Linked DNA regions of Mus musculus. The protein of the gene in region 1 purifies or fractionates together with the protein of each later gene. This does not show direct contact. Links are inferred from orthologs where the notes say so. Each region holds a gene or a part of one and is shown on either strand. Other genes may lie near its edges.

Region 1 (6,410 bases):
TGTAGAATATAGAATTATGCCTATTACCTTTTTAAAACATTTGTGTGGATTAATATGATTGCCAAGAATATTAGATGATTTCATTATAATGTTTGAAACATATACTTCTCATTTTTCTTATTTTTCTAGAAACTATTAACTTGTATACATTTTAATACTGTTTCATGATTAATAAATGTGCTTTTAGCTATATCCAAATTCTTGTTTATTTTCTCTTAGGGGATCTGAAACTTGTGGAAAAACCATCTCCTTTGACTCTTGCTCCTCATGACTTTGCAAATATTAAAGCTAATGTCAAGGTAGCATCAACAGAAAACGGAATAATTTTTGGCAATATAGGTATGGTTCTGTTTTATGGCATGTGATAGTTGAGTGTTTTGTTTCTTTAAAGAATGTGGTATTATGTACTTATGGTCGTGCTTGAGGGCAGAACATGAATCTGCTGATTTATAGGGTACTTTATATGGTAACCAAGCATTGTATTATGTTCTAGGTAATACCAGATTGAGCTGGGTGGAGGCGTCATAGTCCTCAGGAAGCCACTAGGCAGGATGAAAGGACAGATGTAACAACAGTGTGATTAGAATGAGTTTGATACACGGCATACTTCGGGGTCAGATAGAAAGCAGTGTAGTGTGGGAAGCTGTGTAAAGGAAGATTTGTTATTAAGGAACAACATGTACTAATCATAAAAATTCATAGAGGTCCTTGTGGCCAAGCACACAGGAATATTTCAAACGTTGAGATAGGCTTGTACAGAAGAATTCAGTCAGTATTTACTAGCAATTTCTGTTATAGGCATAAACTACCATAGTAAGGAACAACAGATAGGTCTTAAGATGGTTAAGGTCAAGTAAGGGAAAACAGGATATACAAAATAAGTTCCATACATAAAGCTAAATGTAATGAAAGATACGTATATGAGCAGTGAGTGAGTCCATGAAGGGATTTGATCAGTTCTCAAAGTGTTGTAAGGATTGAAAAGTTAGGAAGGGCTTCACAGCTCTCGTTGAGTTGGATTTTAATCAGGAAGTAATCCACAGAGGATTGACTGCAGGCAGAGCAAATGCACATGGAACGATGGGCTGAGCAGTTAGAGTGAAAAGCAAATTAGGAAGTCAGGAAGGCTGACCCTGCTTGCCCTGCAAAAGAATTGAGTACTTAAGCATGGAACAGGAAGACACTGGAGGATGACAATGAGATGTATGGTTAAATATTTCTGTGACAGCAGTACAGATGAGAACTCTGTAGAGGACACGGAAGATTGCCTGAGTAGGTTATTGAAGACACCAAGTGAAAGGGGAGAGCACTGCCTAACCTGACAGAGCAGTGCTTAGATAGAAAGGAGGGGGAAGTAGAGCTCTTTAGGGGTGTGTCTTTAGATACAGGACTGTAAACTGACGAAGACAGTTTTGATAACCCTCCGTTTCCCTAAAAGTAAAAAGAGAACTTAGACCCCTATCAGAGTAGAACTTTAAATTTAGGTTTTAGTTTTAGGGGAGACAAGGGAATGGTGATGGACGGTGCTTGTTGTTAGTTGGTTGTTTTCTTGAGACATGGTTTCTCTGTGTATCCTGGCTATCCTGAAACTCATTTTGAAGACCAGGCCAGGCTGGCCTCGAATTTAGAGACTGGTTTGCCTCTGCCTCCCAAGTGTTGGGATTAAAGGTGTACACCACCACCTAACTTTGGTTAGTTGGTTTGTTTGTTTGTTTGTTTTTCCTGAGACAGGGTCCCACTGGGTAACCCAGACTAGACTCAAATAAAGTAATGCTTCTACTTTAGCTCCAACTTCTGAGATTATAGGCATGTACCATCCATCACAGCCATCCCAGATTATGTCTTTCTAGGGAAGAAACAGTCTTGGAGACAGATAATCTTATATTACAAAATTGCATCAACATATAACCAAATATTAGGAGGAAAAGTTTAGATTTATAACTAGATCTCAACTATGAGAATACTGAACTATTTGTGTATCTGGCGTAGTACCTGGCCCATTATAGCGGCTATATAAATATTCACCAACTTAAGCGTAACAACAACAGACAAAGTGTACCTGAGCCCAAGTCCTGAGTCTTAAGTCCTATTGCCTATCAGTTCTGTAACCTGAGGTAACTTACTTGACTTCCCTGCTTTCCTAGTCTGCGAGATGGAAAATCGTAAGGTACAATTGATGGCACTATTCAGTTGGTAATATTTATAAAGCACTGAGAATCTAGTATATATAAATATTTGCTAATATCATAAATATTTGCTATTTTGAACTAACTTCCACCCTTTGGGGATCTTTCTGTATGTTTATTACAGTTTATGATGTTTCTGGAGCAGCAAGTGACAGAAACTGTGTGGTCCTCAGTGACATCCACATTGACATCATGGACTATATCCAGCCTGCAACTTGCACTGATGCTGAGTTCCGTCAGATGTGGGCCGAATTTGAATGGGAAAATAAAGTTAGTCATTGAGAGGTTTCCTATGCATATCTTCCTGATGACTAGTGCTGAGGGCTTTTTTTGTTTGTTTGTTTGTTTGTTTGTTTAAATATTTTTTTATTACATATTTTCCTCAATTACATTTCCAATGCTATCCCAAAAGTCCCCCATACCCTCCCCCCCCCACTCCCCTACCCACCCATTCCCACTTTTTGGCCCTGGCGTTCCCCTGTACTGGGGCATATAAAGTTTGCAAGTCCAGTGGGCCTCTTTCCAGTGATGGCCGACTAGGTCATCTTTTGATACATATGCAGCTAAAGACAAGAGCTCCGGGGTACTGGTTAGTTCATAATGTTGTTGCACCTACAGGGTTGCAGATCTCTTTAGCTCCTTGGATACTTTCTCTAGCTCCTCCATTGGGGACCCTGTGATCCATCCAATAGCTGACTGTGAGCATCCACTTATGTGTTTGCTAGGCCCCGGCCTAGTCTCACAAGAGACAGCTATATCAGGGTCCTTTCAGCAAACTCTTGCTAGTGTATGCAATGGTGTCATCGTTTGGAGGCTGATTATGGGATGGATCCCTGGATATGGCAGTCTCTAGATAGTTCATCCTTTTGTGTCAGCTCCAAACTTTGTCTCTGTAACTACTTCCATGGGTGATTGTTCCCAATTCTAAGAAGGGGCAAAGTGTCCACACTTTGGTCTTCGTTCTTCTTCAGTTTCATGTGTTTTGCAAATTGTATATCTCAGGTATACTAAGTTTCTGGGCTAATATCCACTTATCAGTGAGTACATATCATTTGAGTTCTTTTGTGATTGTGTTACCTCACTCAGGATGATGCCCTCCAGGTCCAACCATTTGCCTAGGAATTTCATAAATTCATTCGTTTTAATAGCTGAGTAGTACTCCATTGTGTAAATGTACCACATTTTTTGTATCCATTCCTCTGTTTAGGGGCATCTGGGTTCTTTCCAGCTTCTGGCTATTATAAATAAGGCTGCTATGAACATAGTGGAGCATGTGTCCTTCTTACCGGTTGGGACATCTTCTGGATATATGCCCAGGAGAGGTATTGCGGGATCCTCCGGTAGTACTATGTCCAATTTTCTGAGGAACTGCCAGACTGATTTCCAGAGTGGTTGTACAAGCTTGCAATCCCACCAACAATGGAGGAGTATTCCTCTTTCTCCACATCTTCGCCAGCATCTGCTGTCACCTGAATTTTTGATCTTAGGGCTTTTTTTTTTTTAAGTAATTCCCTCTAAAAAGCAAACAGCTTTTCATTATCTATTTCTGTGTATTACCTTAACTAGAAACCATGCAAGCCCTTTAATAATTCCATTGGTGAATTAAGTAGAATGGCAGTTATTTCTGGGATCTTGTGATAGTATCTTGCTCTCTAGCCTAGTCAAGTCTCCAGTGCCTGACCCTCCACCCATGTCATCTTGGCACTGGCACTATGAGTGTTCATCACCATGCCTACCTAGTCATAACTCTGTAACTACTTTGGTTGAGACAGTATAGACAAGATTCCTCTTCTTCTGTGACCAGGTGATAATCTACCATTGGCTCTTGTACCTTTGAGGCTGTGCAAAGTCTGTGGCCCAGTGGGAAGCTTTGTCCCTTGAGTTTTACTTGAACTCTGTATTTCCTTGATGGTCTAGTGAGATGTCTGTGTCTGAAGCCGCTGCCGATACCAGTTGGTTTCGTAGCAGTCGTTTACTTTTTTATTGCCCACACTCCACTCTTCCCCTCCATAGTTGAAGGAAAGTGTAGGATGAAAAGACAATGCAGTTTCACTGTAAGGCTCACGGAGTCTTCTCCTCTGCAGGTGACAGTTAACACCAACATGACTGACCTGAATGACTACTTACAGCACATCCTCAAGTCGACCAACATGAAGTGCCTGACTCCAGAGAAGGTAGGAGGAGACTAGAAAAGGCTAAAGTCCCTAAAAAGACTAGGACAGTAGTTGGTTGTCTTTTCCGGTTTCCTCTGCCATTTTTTTATAATAATTCAGCATGGGAAAACTGAGTTGCTCTGGAATATGAGAGTAATAACTACCCACAGATATTTGAGCTGCTCACCTCTCTTCTGAACTGTGTCTTCCCACTCGTTCATGGCTATGCCTTAACTGGGACAGTCAAGTTACTTGGGTTTCTTGCTTTTAGTTTTTTGTCTTCTCCATCTTTCAGATAAGAGACTTTATTCTATAACCATTATTTATTTGTGATACTAGATTAGCAAATGCCCTCCTTCGTGGGCTAATTGTACATCAGAATAAATCTCTAATGCAGTGGCTTTCTGCTATCTACATGCAAAAAGACTAGAACAAAGACAAAATGAAATTGAATCTCTAAGTATCTTTCTTTAGAAAATTTCTGTTAGTGCCATAATGTGCATCTCCCTAATAAGAGAATGTCAACTGTCATCTGGGTGTGTAGCTCAGAGATAAAATGTTTGCTTAGTATCCAACACACACACACACACACACACACACACACACACACACACACACACACACACACACACACAGGGAGCAGGGGGCGTGGAGGGCAGATGTGTTTACTGCCAAACAAGTAGATTTTGTATATTAGTTTCTTCAACAATTTCTAAGTCCAACAAAAGAAGTCTTTCTTTATGGAAGTTAAAAGCCTGGTACAGGAGAGAAATAAGAACAAGAATATATAAATATAAATTTGAAGAGATACTCTCTTCAAAGTTATGTTTATTAAGTATAATATGCACAGGGAATTCTTAAATTTTTACACATACATTTATTTTGAGTTTTGGAAAACTCATTAGCTCCTATACCCAGTACCACATAAGTAAAGCTTTAAATAATAGTTTGCATGTATATTTGAGTTTGCCAAGGTATAATTCTTTAGCAAAGTATTTAATTTATCACACATTTTTCCCCCCAGGCCCTTTCTGGATACTGTGGCTTTATGGCAGCCAATCTTTATGCACGTTCTATATTTGGAGAGGATGCACTTGCAAATGTCAGCATTGAGAAGCCAGTTCACCAGGGACCAGATGCTGCCGTTACTGGCCATATAAGAATTCGTGCAAAAAGTCAGGTAATAACATCCTTTTTTGAGAGCATCTCTGCACCAAATAAAGGGAAGAAGAATTCATGTCTGTCTTATTTCTGTGGTATAATTTCTTCTGTCATAATTATGTTTTGTGCATAAGACATACATACATACATATGCATGGTATTTTCTGAACTTTAATTCATTTAAAATGGCTTATTCTACAATACTGCCTAAAACATTGATTCCTGTGTGATATTTGTGAAACAGATTTTGTAGAGTTTTTTGAAGATATGGCATAAGTCAAGCACTAACCAACATAACTAAAATCAACCCAGTATAAGTTTTTAGAGTCTGTTTTATATATCCTTTGCTTTGTTGTTGAATGTGATGTCATCCAATGGAGGCTGGTATAAGCTATTTGGGCATTGTTTCAGTAATTACTTCTTTGTTGAGTGTGGGGATATAACTCAGTCTTGGGAATGCTCTTCTAGCATGGTAGACCATGAGTTAATCCTCAACATCACAAAAAATAGATCAAAATATGAACATCTTCATTCTTCTTTACAGGGAATGGCCTTGAGCCTTGGAGATAAAATCAACCTGTCTCAAAAGAAGACTAGTCTATAAGGATGAACAAAAGGTCTTTGAAAGTTTATGCTTAAAATTTAGGTGTGGGCTGATTGGACTCCAACATCTTTTGTACTCTTTTCATGCTTTATGTTATGTAGAATTTGAGTTCATGCTGAATGCATTCCAGCCAGTAATTTATAGCCTTTCCCCTAAATCAAGAATGAGTTTAAAATTATAGTCTGTCTTTTATCTTAACAGTTCTGAATGCTGTCCTCAAAGTATATAATGTTTCTCATATGTACCAAGACCATTTTCACAATAAACAGATCTGTTCATACATTTTTGTTATTTTATAAATAAATT
Region 2 (6,410 bases), on another chromosome or scaffold:
CAGCTTGACCACAGTGGGACAAATAAGTAGGGACAAGCAGGCCAGTCCTCTAGGTGTTGGAAGGGTTTGTGTTCTGTGTCCCACAGGACTATGCTCATATCTTGCCCTAGCTGTGTGCTGCAGCTCTTTCTATTCTGGTGTCTTCTCTCACATGGTCAGGATACCTGCAGGGTCCAGAACTCTGGTGCAAGTGAGAACATCATGTATGTGATAGTGTGTTGGGCACGACACTGGAGTTGGTTACGGGGAGTGCTTGGGAGTTGTTCCAGCCCCTCTGTGTGGACATGAGTGCTGTGCTTAAACAAGAAGGATGGAGCTAGAGACACACAGTGCCCTTCCCAGGGCTTCTGTGTCTGTTGCCCATGCTGCCTCTGTCCTTCAGTACCATGCCCTAGGACTTCTGTACCATGTGCGGAAGAATGACCGACTGGCCGTGAGTAAGATGATCAGTAAGTTCACCCGGCACGGCCTCAAGTCCCCCTTTGCCTACTGCATGATGATCCGAGTGGCCAGCAAGCAACTAGAGGAAGAAGACGGCAGGTGAGGACGCTGGTCTCTTGCCAGCTAGATGATGCCTTCTGCACTGCTGGACTGTCCCCAACTTCTTGTTGCTTTGTTCTTTGGTAGCCGTGACAGCCCGCTGTTTGACTTCATCGAGAGCTGCCTGCGTAACAAGCATGAGATGGTGGTGTATGAAGCTGCCTCAGCCATTGTCAACCTGCCAGGCTGCAGTGCCAAAGAGCTGGCCCCTGCTGTGTCAGGTCTCCATATATCCCCTTCCTTGCTGGGCACAGGCCCCGAGCCAGAGATCTTCAGATAGGCCATGATGTAGGGCTGTCACAGGTGTTGCTTTAAAGGAGGGCTGTTTTCAGTTCCATCTCAGTGCTGGTGGGGCACTGCTGGGCCAGCTGGCTCCAGAGGAGGACTCGGGGTGGGGCCCAGGACCTATAAAGCTCAGGGTGCTTGCTCATGGGGCGCACTGGAACTCACAGCTGGACTCACTGCAACTGCCCTGAGCAGGCAGAAAGCCCCTGTCCTCTGTCTGACCTTCCTCACCAGGCCTCATTTCCCTTCTGAAACACAAAGGGCCCTCTTGCTGTAGGTGGTACCGGTGGGATCTGCACAGGCTACTCAGTAGTGTGACACACACTACTGAGTGCATTCTGTGTGTGTTACTAAGGAGAAGCCAACAGCTTTCAGTTGTTTCTGCTCTAGCGAGCAGAGCAGTGCCTGTCTCCCTGCCGGATGCTGGCGTTGGGATGAGAGTAGAGAATATGCACCTGGGGCTTGAAAAGCTAAAGAGCTGCTGCAAAACAGTTGAGAGGTCAACGAGGGTCTGCATAGGGTTTCATGAGGAGGAGAGAGGGATGAATATCTAACTCAGGACCCGCCCAGAGGCAACGAAGTAAGAGTTGTAATGATTGGACTGTTCTTCTAGAGGTCTCCACAGTGGTGATGATACTAAACTGGTAGGAAGATAGGCTCAATTATGGATGCATTTACTCACTGACTAGAGACTAATGTACTCCTATGATAGTCTCATATTTCCAGAAAATGAAAGATAAGAAGTAGAGGCTTTAAAAGATACATCATCCAACTATTTTAAGAGAAATGTTAGTTCCAAAATAAATAGATAGGTAGATAGATAGCAAGAGAAAAGCTAAGCAATATTCTAGAATACAGTCCCATTCAAGACTATACTAGAACATAGACTTTAGCTGTGAGCTTCGGGCAGGCAGGTGGAGGGAATAGTGTGGTCCCTGATAGACACAGCAGTGGTCAACTCTTTAGCACTGATCCAGAGAGGAATACATTTGCTCTTTGAGAGAGGCTTTAGCCCCCTAGCTTGGTGCTGAGGTATGTCCTACTGGGTCCTATGAACATAGAAAGAGAGGTGGCTAGGTGGGCTGCAGATGTGGACAGCCCGTGACTTACCCCTTTTGCTGTCGGGTAGCTGCTACTAAAAGTCACTTGAGGTCCTTTGCCGCTGTTCCCAGGGAGTTCAGAGAATCAGACAGGCACAGCATCCACTCAGTGAGGGCCTAGCACAGGGCAGGTGCTTAGTCTATGACGGCCATTGACACCCACAGGGCCCTTGCTGACAAGGTTCAGGACGAGGCAGTTCTGCTGCTCTCTGCTAAGCAGAAGGCTTGTGTGTGACTAGCCCGAGAGCTTGTTCACCTTTGATCCCATGCCATTCCCTGGGAACCCCAGGTATTCCACTGACATTCCCTTGCCTGGCATCTAGGCAGCCTGATGACAGTGTCTTCCTCCCTGCAGTGCTCCAGCTTTTCTGTAGCTCACCCAAGGCTGCACTTCGCTATGCTGCTGTGCGCACCCTCAATAAGGTAAGAGTTGAGTGGAGAGGAGGGGATGCAGGCTGGTCCAGCTGCTGTCTCCTTTCCCTGAATGGACTGGGAGGCGGGTAGACATGGTCCCCAAAGGACCTCTGGCCAGGCCAGAGGTGAAATGACAGAATTGGGTACTGCCCGGTGTCTGTCCTCCCTCTGCAGGTGGCTATGAAGCACCCTTCAGCGGTGACTGCCTGCAATCTAGATCTGGAAAACCTGGTTACAGACTCAAACAGGAGCATCGCCACATTGGCCATCACCACCCTGCTCAAGACAGGGAGCGAGAGCAGCATTGACCGCCTTATGAAGCAGATTTCCTCCTTCATGTCGGAGATCTCAGATGAGTTCAAGGTACCCAGTACCCTCACAGCCTGCAGTCCCCAAGACAAGGGAGATGGTCTGAGCCTGCTGTCCTTCCTCCCAGTTTTTGACCCTCTGTCCCTTTGAACCTTAAATACAGTGTGCTAGAGTTTCGGAAGTGGGGCAGCAGTGGATGGGGCAGATGGGAACTGTCTGTTGGGAGAGTAAGGTTTAGAAAATGAGCAGACATGTAAATGAGCAGTAGCCTGAGATGCAGTGAGGAGCTGGCCCTGAAGTAGCAGCTGCTGGGGAGGAAGGCAGTGTGAGCCAGGGAGAAGGGGCAGGAGCAGGGATTGGGAAAGTACTCGGAGACAGGCCAGCTGGGGAGCAGGTCAAAGTGGTGACATCAGAACAGGCTGCGGTTGTTTCCTGACGTAGAGCTCATGGTAAAGTTCTAATTGTAAAAAAGTCGTTTGGAAGGATGGTGGTTTGGGACTTATTTTTTCTATTTTTCAAATCAAGACAGGGCATCCCTATGTAGCTCATTCGACCTTGAACTCAGGATGCTCCTGCTTGAGCTCCTTCATTGCTACTGGGATTACCAATATGTAGTGCCCTGCCTGGCTTTCATTGTCCTTTCTGTTGTCATTTCGGTTTTTCTAAACAGGCTGACTTAGAACTCAGTAGAATACAGACTAGTGTCAAGCTTGGAGCAATCCTCCTACCGTCTCCCAAATGCCAATAGTAGAGATGTATGCCACTGTATCTGGCTTCTCTTACTCTTTCTTTTTTTTTTTAAAAGACAGTGTTACTCTTTGTAGCCCTGACTGTCCTGCCACTCACTCTATTGACCAGGCTGGCCTCGAACCCACAGAGATTTGCATGTCTTCCTCCTGAATGCTGGGATTAAAGGCGTGTACCACCACCACCCAACATATTTTTTAAACTTTTACTTTAGAATAATTCACAGGAGGTTGCAAATAAATAACTAAGAGGGGAGCCCTGGGCATTTCTTTCCGCTCCAGTGCCCATATCCAGCACAGTTGTAGTTGATGAGGAAACCAGCCGTTGTACGATCTAGAGAGCTTACTTCGATTTCGTTGGTTACGAGATGCATGTGTGATACCTTTCAAAATTGCTGCCACAGTCAGACTTAGCATCACTAGACAGCACTCAAGCTCTCCATTCCTAGCCCTGCACCCCCGATTCTTGACAGTCGCTAATATATTCTTATTTTGCATAGTTAGATTATTTCATTGTTATATAAGTGGAGTCATGAAATCTGCAGAGTTTCTGTCAGCAGATAATAGTAGGAGCAGTTTTTAATTCAGCAGGATAAATTCTAGAGTGTGGGTTGTACAAACTGGGCAGAAATCTACTCTGCCTGTGGGTTATATGAAGGCGATGTGGTGAGATTTGCAGATGAGAATAACCTAGCCCTCCTGACAGTGGAGGATGAGTTTGAGGAGACTTGGATCTCAGAAGATGAACTGGCTTAGGAGCCTGCAAGAGCGGTGATGTGAGAGCCATAGAAGGACTTGAATCAGTTAAAGACAAGGGAGGGGAGAGCAGAGGGAAGAAGTAGGAATGCCAAAGAGACTTCAGGAAAAGAGAGGAGAATGGAATGTCAGGTGAAAACAGAAAAGGCAGGGAAGAAGCCGGCCAGGCAGGGCTTGGAGACCGAGACACACTTGGTCTGCCAAGACTGCCATATTTCCCCTGCCTTAGGTGGGTTCAGGACTTATGCCCCAGCATGGAGAAGTGTTCCTCCTGGTTTCATCTTATGTTGAGCCCAGGGCATGTCTTCCCCTGGAGGGACTCTGTGGCATTTAGTGAGCAAGTCCCCAGGACTGTCAGGGACTGCCACTCATTCAGGTCTCTCTCCCAGGTGGTGGTTGTCCAGGCCATCAGTGCCCTGTGCCAGAAGTATCCTCGAAAGCATGCTGTGCTCATGAACTTCCTGTTCACCATGCTAAGGGAAGAGGTAAGGGCGGGGCCGCTGGGGTCCTTCACATTCTGTTGGTGCAGAGAATGGCCTGACTGCCAAACTTGTCTCTTGGTGTTACGCTCAGAACACTGTTAAACGGCTTGTTTCCGCGCCTGCGGCGCTTTAGACTCCGTGCACAGATGAAGCAAGAGCAGCAGCTGTCATAATTACAGTAGTGATATGTGACTCACCAGCATGGCAGCAGGTCCAGCAGGTGCCCCAAGGCAGTGCTTATACAGAAGGGCGGGGCATGGGTTCTGTTATGAAGTCTGGTGGTGCAGGATGCTGCATGTCAGTCAGGAGCTCTTGGAAAACTGGGGCTGAAAAACACAACATGGGTGCCAGGATTTTGTTGGGTGTTGTTTGTTTGTTTTAGTTTTGTGACAGGGTCGCTGCATAGATCTGGCTATCCTAGAACTTACTATATAGACCAGGCTAGCCTTGAACTGACAGAGATCCACTTGTCTCTGCCTCCAGAATGCATATCTGTAAGAAATGAACTTCCACTGGGCATAGTGGTGCCCACCTTGAATCCCAGCAGTCTGGAGGTTTCCTAAACAAACCTAATGACTTGATTTTAATCCCTGGATTCCATGGTGGAAGAAGAGAAACAACTTCTAAAAGTTAACCTCCTGTCCATGTTTGTGACATGAGATATATAGCCCTGTATTCACATACATTTTTAAAACATACACACAAAATGATAAGTGTGTGTGCATGTGTGTGCGTGTTAGTGATTTGGGGGGGGGTTGGAGAAAGTTTAGGAGTGCATACTGTTCTTGCAGAGAATCAAACTTTGGACTCATGATTAGCAGTTGATAACTGCCTATAACTCCAGCTGCAGGGGATTCAACACCATATCCTAGCCTCTCTGAGTACCTGTACTTATGTGTACTTATGTGCACATATCCTCACATAGACATACACACACACACACAACACACATTTTAAAAAAGAACAAAAGAAAAAAGGATTCTGGGAACTGAAGGTGTAGTTGAACTGGTAGGATGCTTGCCTAGCATGCTCGAAGCCCTGATTTGGCCCCAGCACTGTATAAACTGGGCAGGTGATACATACTGCACTTCCCATGCCTGTATTGCACATCCTAACAATTGGAAAGCAGAAACAAGGTTCAGAGCTCAAGGCCATCCTTGGCTACATAGTGATTTTAAGGTTAGCCTGGGATACACTAGACCCATCTAAAGAACTGGAACATGAGGCTTAGTGTGACTTGAGTGGAATGACCTGCCTCTCAGGTAAGTCTGAAGAACAAGCAGAACACTTTGTGGTATCTGAGCTCAGGTGCCTCTGGCCCTTAAAGCACAGGTTTCTCTCACTGAAAAAGCCCAAGCTTTGTCTCCTCAGCTTTCTGGCTCCCTCCCGGAAAGTTACATGCTTTCTGTAGCAGTGAAGGTTATGAATGGCCCTCACTGAGGGGCTGGAACACTCAGACCTGAGAACTTGCCTTGCCTCTGCTGACATCTGTCGTGCAGCCAGGACGTGGCTGCCTGCAGCAGTGAGACTGAAGCAGCGTTTCGGGGGTTTATAGCCTAGTACCTCACTCACTGTGGTCGCATGCTGAGCACACAGCACCTTGTTTTCCTTTTCCCCTTGAGATTTGTTCTTCCTATGTTGTCCTGGCTGGCTGTGAATTTAGGATTGTCCTGCCTCAGTATCTTGAGTGCTGGAATTACAGGCATGGGCCATGCCTGGCTCAGATCTCACCTTATTTGTTCTTCAGAATAACCTGTAAGGCTGACACACGAAAGGCG
Region 3 (6,410 bases), on another chromosome or scaffold:
GAGACCCTGCCTCAAAAACCAAACAAACAAGAATTTAAAAAAAAAAAATGAAAGAGAGAGAAACTATGCTATTTTTAAAAATCTTTTTCTATTTTTATTCTCCAGGTTAGACGCTATATTTACAAGTTTTTATGAAATGACTTACACACAGAAAAACTCATAGAGGTAAACAGTTCTGATACCTGACTTCTGCTCAAAGACAGGAGCCATAGCAAGAGGAATTGACTTCATATCAAAGGGTTTTTCTGAAGGCTCCAATGTATACTGGTGTAAGGCCTTTTCCATCCCTGGTATAGAGACTGTCAGACCTAGAGACAGGAAAATCTCAACATTATAATCTATTCTCAACAATCTGTAATGGTTAAGCTTTTTAAAGAAAGAGAAACATAACAAAAAACTATAGCCTAGTGGTTCTCAATCTGTGGGGATCAAAGTACTCTTTCACGAGGGCTGTCTAAGACCATCAGAAAACACACATATTTGTATTACAATTCATAACAGGAGCAAAATTACAGTTATGAAGTGGTGACAAAAATGTTATGGTAGGGGTTGCTACAATGTAAGGAACTGTATTAAAGGGTTGCAGCATTAGGAAGCTGTAGATAGCCTACTTAATCTAACAAAAGATTATTATAGACATCTGCCTCATAAACTTATAAGCTGCTTTATTTCTTTCAAGGAAACATGGGAACAAAGAATAAAAAATATCAACAGAATGCAAGCAATTCTCATAAAAAAATATCTTATCTATATGGGAACAAGAAAAGCAGAAGAAAATGAAAATGGGGACAGCCATTTAAGAGGGAGCTTAAGTTTTTTCTTTTTTCTTTTTTTTGGTTTTTCGAGACAGGGTTTCTCTATAGTCCTGGCTGTCCTGGAGCTCACTCTGTAGAGAGGGAGCTTAAGAAGCCATATTCTTTGGACCCTTTCATATTTTAAAAAAAAATCATCTTCTCTATTATTTTATAGGAACTGCTATTACCAAATTAGAAAATACCTTTATGAATATGGGTTTCTCTAGAAACAGAATTGCATTCAAAGATTTAAAACATTCAACTGCCTAAAGGAGTCAGCTAATACATGACTCAGCATAAAAATCATTGCTCAGCCAGGCGTGGTAGTGCACACCTTTAATCCCAGCACTCAGGAGGCAGGGGCAGGCGGATTTCTGAGTTCCAGGCCAGCCTGGTCTACAAAGTGAGTTCCAGGACAGCCAGGGCTACACAGAGAAACCCTGTCTCGAAAAACCAAAAAAACAAAAAACAAAAAAAAAAAACATTGCTCATTTGACAAACAAATGTGCTATGTGTCCATAATCCTGACTCTCACTGACCATTGAAGATATATGTAGCATTCAGGGCCATCTGTCTCTGCTGTAGCACATTCAGGTAGAAGGTAGCTCGGTCCCGTACCTCATCATCAGTATCCATCATACACCTGATCAGAAAAAATAGTATAGGCACACTTCTGTCTAAGTCTTTGTATACAGAGATGTCGAACAGTCTCACCACTTACCTGAAGAGTGCAGCTGAGGTCATCTGATATGACTTTTATGACAAGAGTTCAATAATAGCTAACATCCTAAAAATTCTTGACCTGTTACGAATTACTAAAGAAATGTTGCTATTTGAGAAGGCACTGAGATCACTAGGAAGAACACAATACCATGACATAATAATTTACAATCTAATCCTGAACCTGTGACTACATGAGCTCAACAAAGACAGCTTTTCTACAACTAAGAAATGGAAATGTTAAACTTTCTAAGGATACAAAAAGAAAACTAGCACTCAGAATCTAGACAGCCATTGTTCAAATGGCAATCTGTTTTACTTAAACTAGTTAGTCTCAGTCTTTGGCTAATGAGTTAATTGCTTTAGTTATAAAATGCAATCACAAAATATTTGCTAAAAGGACCACCAACTTTTTTCCTTTCCTCACCAACCAAGGAGTTATGGAGATCATAAAAGGCTACTATCTTTAGCTTTTCATACGAATCATTTCACATCTCTTTTAAGTTAGTACCTACTGTACAAGTTGAGGTACACAGGTTAACCTTACTCTCTCAGTATCATTTAAAAGAAATCTAAAACTCAAATTTTGCACATAAATAATTACTAGAAAAAAAAAAACCAAAAACAAAACAACCAGACCCCCAAAACTCCATTTGCCCTGGACTAACTCTATCAGCTCTACTCTTGGCTCCTCAGTTTATCTGACATAGTACAAAGAGGTTTTTTTACTACTTAGCTACATGGAATTCTTATTTTCCAACAGCCAGCATTCATTCTTTTACATACCTTTGTAAGAGTACAAGGATGCTGGGGAGAAGGCTCTCATTCTGAGCCCCAAATTTAGCCAAAGCACTCACAGCAGCTATTGTGAAACACAAGATGAAGCAATGTAAATACTGGCTTCTCAGAGCTAAGCAATAAACATTCAAAAACAAATCAGACACTTGTGAGGCCAAGGCAGGAAGGTTACTCAAAGTCTGAGACCAGTCTAAGCTACAAAGTAAGACCTTGTAGTGGAAAACAAACAAAACAAAACAAAAATACCAAAACTAGAAGCAAATTAGAGAAGCAGTTGGTAGTCAATAGAAATAAAGTCTCTTGTGTTGACAGTTTCTTGATCTTACTTAAATATAAATAGAATAGTGAAGAATCTAGCAAACTCTATAGAGGAAGATTCTCATTCAGCGAGGAAAAATAATTATCTATCTATCTATCTATCTATCTATCTATCTATCTATCTATCTATCATCTGTCTATCTATCTGTCTATCTATCTACCACCTATCTATCTCCTGGGTGTGAGCTGTCTCTTCCCCATGACAGCCTCTTATATATCCTCTGACATGATTCAGTTCAAATTTTAAACAACTAGCACCAAAAAACTATTATTAAAATTTCTTTCATTCAACAAGGATTCAATGCTCACCTAAATTTTACCTGGAGGTGTGGCAAGAGCTAAGGGGTAGAAAGATAAAAGACATGGTCTCTAACCTAAGGAGTGTGGCTGCAGTAAGATAGACAAGTAAAGACTATCTTGCCTAGTAAATCTCTCGTAAACTGTATCCAAGTTGCTAGGTAAGTACGGGGCTTAGGAAAGACAAAGATTTGAGATGCTACTGCACTTAATTTTTTAGGATAGTTAGTTCAGCCAGAGGGAAAAGGCAGGACAAGAGTATTAGAAAGGAAAACAAATCAAAACGTCCTGTGTCCTGAGCAGAAAGTGTTGCTATTAGACTTGAGTGAGAAAGGCTTAGTGTTGGACCCATGTTAGAATGAAAGTAAAAGACTAGAGATAAACTAAAAACCACACAGACGTCAAGGTTTTAAAGGTTACATTATCCCACATAGGTATAGGATATATATGTAGTTTGTTTTTTTAAGATTTTGTACAAATTATTTTTAATCATGTATATCCACCTGTGTGCAGCTATGTACACATGAACACACGTGCTAGGGGAGGTCAGAAATATCAGATCCTCTGGGAACTGGAGTTACAGGTAGTTGTTAGCCATGTAATGTAGATGCTGGAAGCCAAATTCAGGTCCTTGGCAAGAGCAGTAAGTACTCCTAAGGCTAAGTCAGGTCTCCAGCCCAAGTTTGCTATTTTAATGACGGCTCTTCACATTCAGCTAATAAATACTGTCTGTGAAACTAGAAACAGATGAGCTAGGGATCAGAAATGAATGAAAGCCTAAAGCTGTACCAAACGACATAAAGACAGGAGAATGAAGAATCAGGAGGGAAGAAAAGTGACAGCACTGTGGTAAAGAACAGAGGAAGGTTCAACTCTGTGACTGAAATCTGTCTTGTGAGAGTAGGATCAAGTGAAGATTTCAGTTTGAAGTAGTTTGAATTTCACATTATATTTGAGGGGTGGTGTGAACATTCATATTCAGGAGTCAACAAAGCTCAAAAAAACAATCTAGAAGAATGTGAACTAAGATAAAAATATTAAGTAGTCTGACTGACCAGTTAACTTATATGTAATTTAAAAATGAAACAAGAAAGAATTTAAAGAGGGCCAAATTTTATTGAGCTGAAAAAAAAATGGACAAAGAGCATATAAAGGCAACTAGTGATGTCATTTTTGAGTTTATCTGGAAACAAAATATAAGGATAGATAAGGTCAATAGTTTATAAGAGAAGGGATCACAGGAGAATTTACTGATTCTAGGTAATAGACTAGAAAGAGTCACTTAAGATGTATATATGAACACATCTATACATACATAAATCCTTATACATTTTACTTATGGTTTAAAGAAAAAATAGAGGCCCCACTATAGTATTCCTGTCACACTGAAAGACAAGGGCTGTAGGTCTCTAATTAAAGGCAAAAATCTGTGTGGAAGTTGAAACACAAAAGAAGAGCTGTATATCTGGAACCAGGGTGTCCTCCAAGATCATATCACAACATTAGGGAACCTGCAACTTCATTACTACTCTCTTGAATCACCTATATTCAAAGACCAGCAATGACATCATTAGTTGTGCTCTAATGACTCACCAGCTCTGACAGCCTCATTCTCCAGGACCACCCTATTAAAAATGAATCTGATATACTTGGAGGGAACAGGAGTTCTAGGGCCCTCTTTGCCCAATAAGTGGAGAATTTTAGTAGCCAGAACGGTATGTTCACAGTCCTCAATGAATTCACAGAGGTGGGCTAGACCAGCTTCTTTACTCTCAGGGTTCTCTTCCACAATGCTGATTATGCAGTCCACAATGGCCTTTTTGTATTCAAAACCTCCCTGAGAAAAGAGAAGATAAAACTGCTATTTGTTCTAAAGACTTTTTTTTTTTTTTAAAATCTAACCACCACCCACCACCAATGGTGTTCCCATTTTAAGGAACTTTTTAGAATTTTATTTTAAAGAAATGCTTATATTTTAAGATTCATGCTTATAATATTAAAATTTCAACTAACTTTATTTAATATAACAATAAAAACAAAGTTGTTCCCCTTCAAGTGGGAAAATAATTAGCTGTAATAAATACAGCAGTTGGAATTCTGTATATGTTTGCATGGTATACAGAAATGAGAAAGAAATATATTTAACACATGATAAAGAAATATGCTTAAAATACTAATGGGAGGTCCTGGGTTGAGTTGGAGAGCCTCCAGGGGCAGGAAAGGGGTGGACATTATTAAGATACATTGAATATATGCATTACAACATCAAAGAAAAAAATAATGATACAAACCATGAAGAAGTGAGTTAAAAACAATAACAACAAAAACACTGTGGTGGTATTTAACAGCAATCGAGGGAATTTAAGAGAACAACTTCCTATGTTAAAACGTAGACTACTACCTACATCATCTCGAAGCATGTTGGAAAGAAAAGTCATCATGACGCTGTGCTTCCGAGGGTACTTGTGACAGAGAGCACTGATGGCCTGCACGACCACCACCTGGAGGAAAGCAAACAGCAGTCAAAGGGGCTGAACACAATCCTGGTATTTGCTTAGGACTTCACCATCAATAAGATAGCTTGTTCTCCTCTACAGTACTTTATACATTTAATATGATCCCAATAAAAATAACAATAAAAATGTTATGAAACAAGGGAGCTTTATTTTGATAAGAAAAAAAAACATACAAGCTTGGAAAACAGTAACAACAGCCTTGATGGGAAGTTAACAGCTGCTAACAGGGTCGACAAAGCTTATTAAAAACTGTGTGGCAATGGTGTGTACAAATAGATAAAAAAGTAGATAGAGAAATGCAGAGAGCAAGGACATATGAAACTTGAATAAAACACGGAAGTATAAGTGTTTCTGAAGTGAACATGAGTGAATTCCTCCACAATAAGAAGTACAAGGATTTTAACAATGACTAAAAATCAGATGGAATAGACAAAAAGACTGATGAATATAACTACACCACAATCCAAAAAACAAAAAAACAAAAAACAAACAAACAAACAAAAACCGTGAGCATTACAGAATCCATTCTAACAGGAGACAAATGGAAAACTGGGGGGAAAAGTAGCAACATGTTTCACATGTTTGTATCTTTAACATAAGAGAAGTGTTAAAATATGGAAAAAATAAAAGACAAAATCCTGTAAAAAATGTGGTGGAAAAACTGAACAGGCACTTCACAGAGAGGTATGAAATGACCTTTGGCAATACAGAAGATGGTTAGGCTGGGGAGACGGATAGATCAGTGGGTGATGTGCTTGCCAAGCAAGTGTGAGGACCCAAGTGTGGATACAGCTATGAGTATCCGTAACCCCAATGCTGCTCCAGTGATCTAGAGGGGAGGAGGACACAGGAGAGGTGGGAAGCCAGTGGACAGGCTAGCTTGGTGAATGCAGTAGCAAGCAGAACCCGCCTCAAACAGACACCTAGGCTTGTCCTCTGGCCTTCAAACATATTCTAGCATATATGT

The links.
Region 2: the proteins of Copb1 (region 1) and Copg1 fractionate together in Homo sapiens (co-fractionation; 11 studies listed by BioGRID and IntAct, counting the BioPlex papers as one, with this or other methods). This does not show direct contact. The link is inferred for Mus musculus from reciprocal best matches to the Homo sapiens genes COPB1 and COPG1.
Region 3: the proteins of Copb1 (region 1) and Copg2 purify together in Homo sapiens (affinity purification with western blotting; 4 studies listed by BioGRID and IntAct, with this or other methods). This does not show direct contact. The link is inferred for Mus musculus from reciprocal best matches to the Homo sapiens genes COPB1 and COPG2.

The regions. Positions count from the first base shown.
Region 1 is NC_000073.6:114,215,572-114,221,981, reverse strand, and holds part of Copb1 (coatomer subunit beta), read left to right. Parts: intron 1-219; coding exon 220-339; intron 340-2,310; coding exon 2,311-2,456; intron 2,457-4,270; coding exon 4,271-4,360; intron 4,361-5,363; coding exon 5,364-5,519; intron 5,520-6,044; coding exon 6,045-6,104; 3' UTR 6,105-6,410. UniProt on the Homo sapiens protein: The coatomer is a cytosolic protein complex that binds to dilysine motifs and reversibly associates with Golgi non-clathrin-coated vesicles, which further mediate biosynthetic protein transport from the ER, via the Golgi up to the trans Golgi network.
Region 2 is NC_000072.6:87,893,414-87,899,823, forward strand, and holds part of Copg1 (coatomer subunit gamma-1), read left to right. Parts: intron 1-382; coding exon 383-540; intron 541-627; coding exon 628-761; intron 762-2,280; coding exon 2,281-2,348; intron 2,349-2,513; coding exon 2,514-2,702; intron 2,703-4,539; coding exon 4,540-4,635; intron 4,636-6,410. UniProt on the Homo sapiens protein: The coatomer is a cytosolic protein complex that binds to dilysine motifs and reversibly associates with Golgi non-clathrin-coated vesicles, which further mediate biosynthetic protein transport from the ER, via the Golgi up to the trans Golgi network.
Region 3 is NC_000072.6:30,811,411-30,817,820, forward strand, and holds part of Copg2 (coatomer subunit gamma-2), read right to left. Parts: intron 5,429-6,410; coding exon 5,333-5,428; intron 4,765-5,332; coding exon 4,521-4,764; intron 2,377-4,520; coding exon 2,301-2,376; intron 1,438-2,300; coding exon 1,334-1,437; intron 309-1,333; coding exon 183-308; intron 1-182. UniProt on the Homo sapiens protein: The coatomer is a cytosolic protein complex that binds to dilysine motifs and reversibly associates with Golgi non-clathrin-coated vesicles, which further mediate biosynthetic protein transport from the ER, via the Golgi up to the trans Golgi network.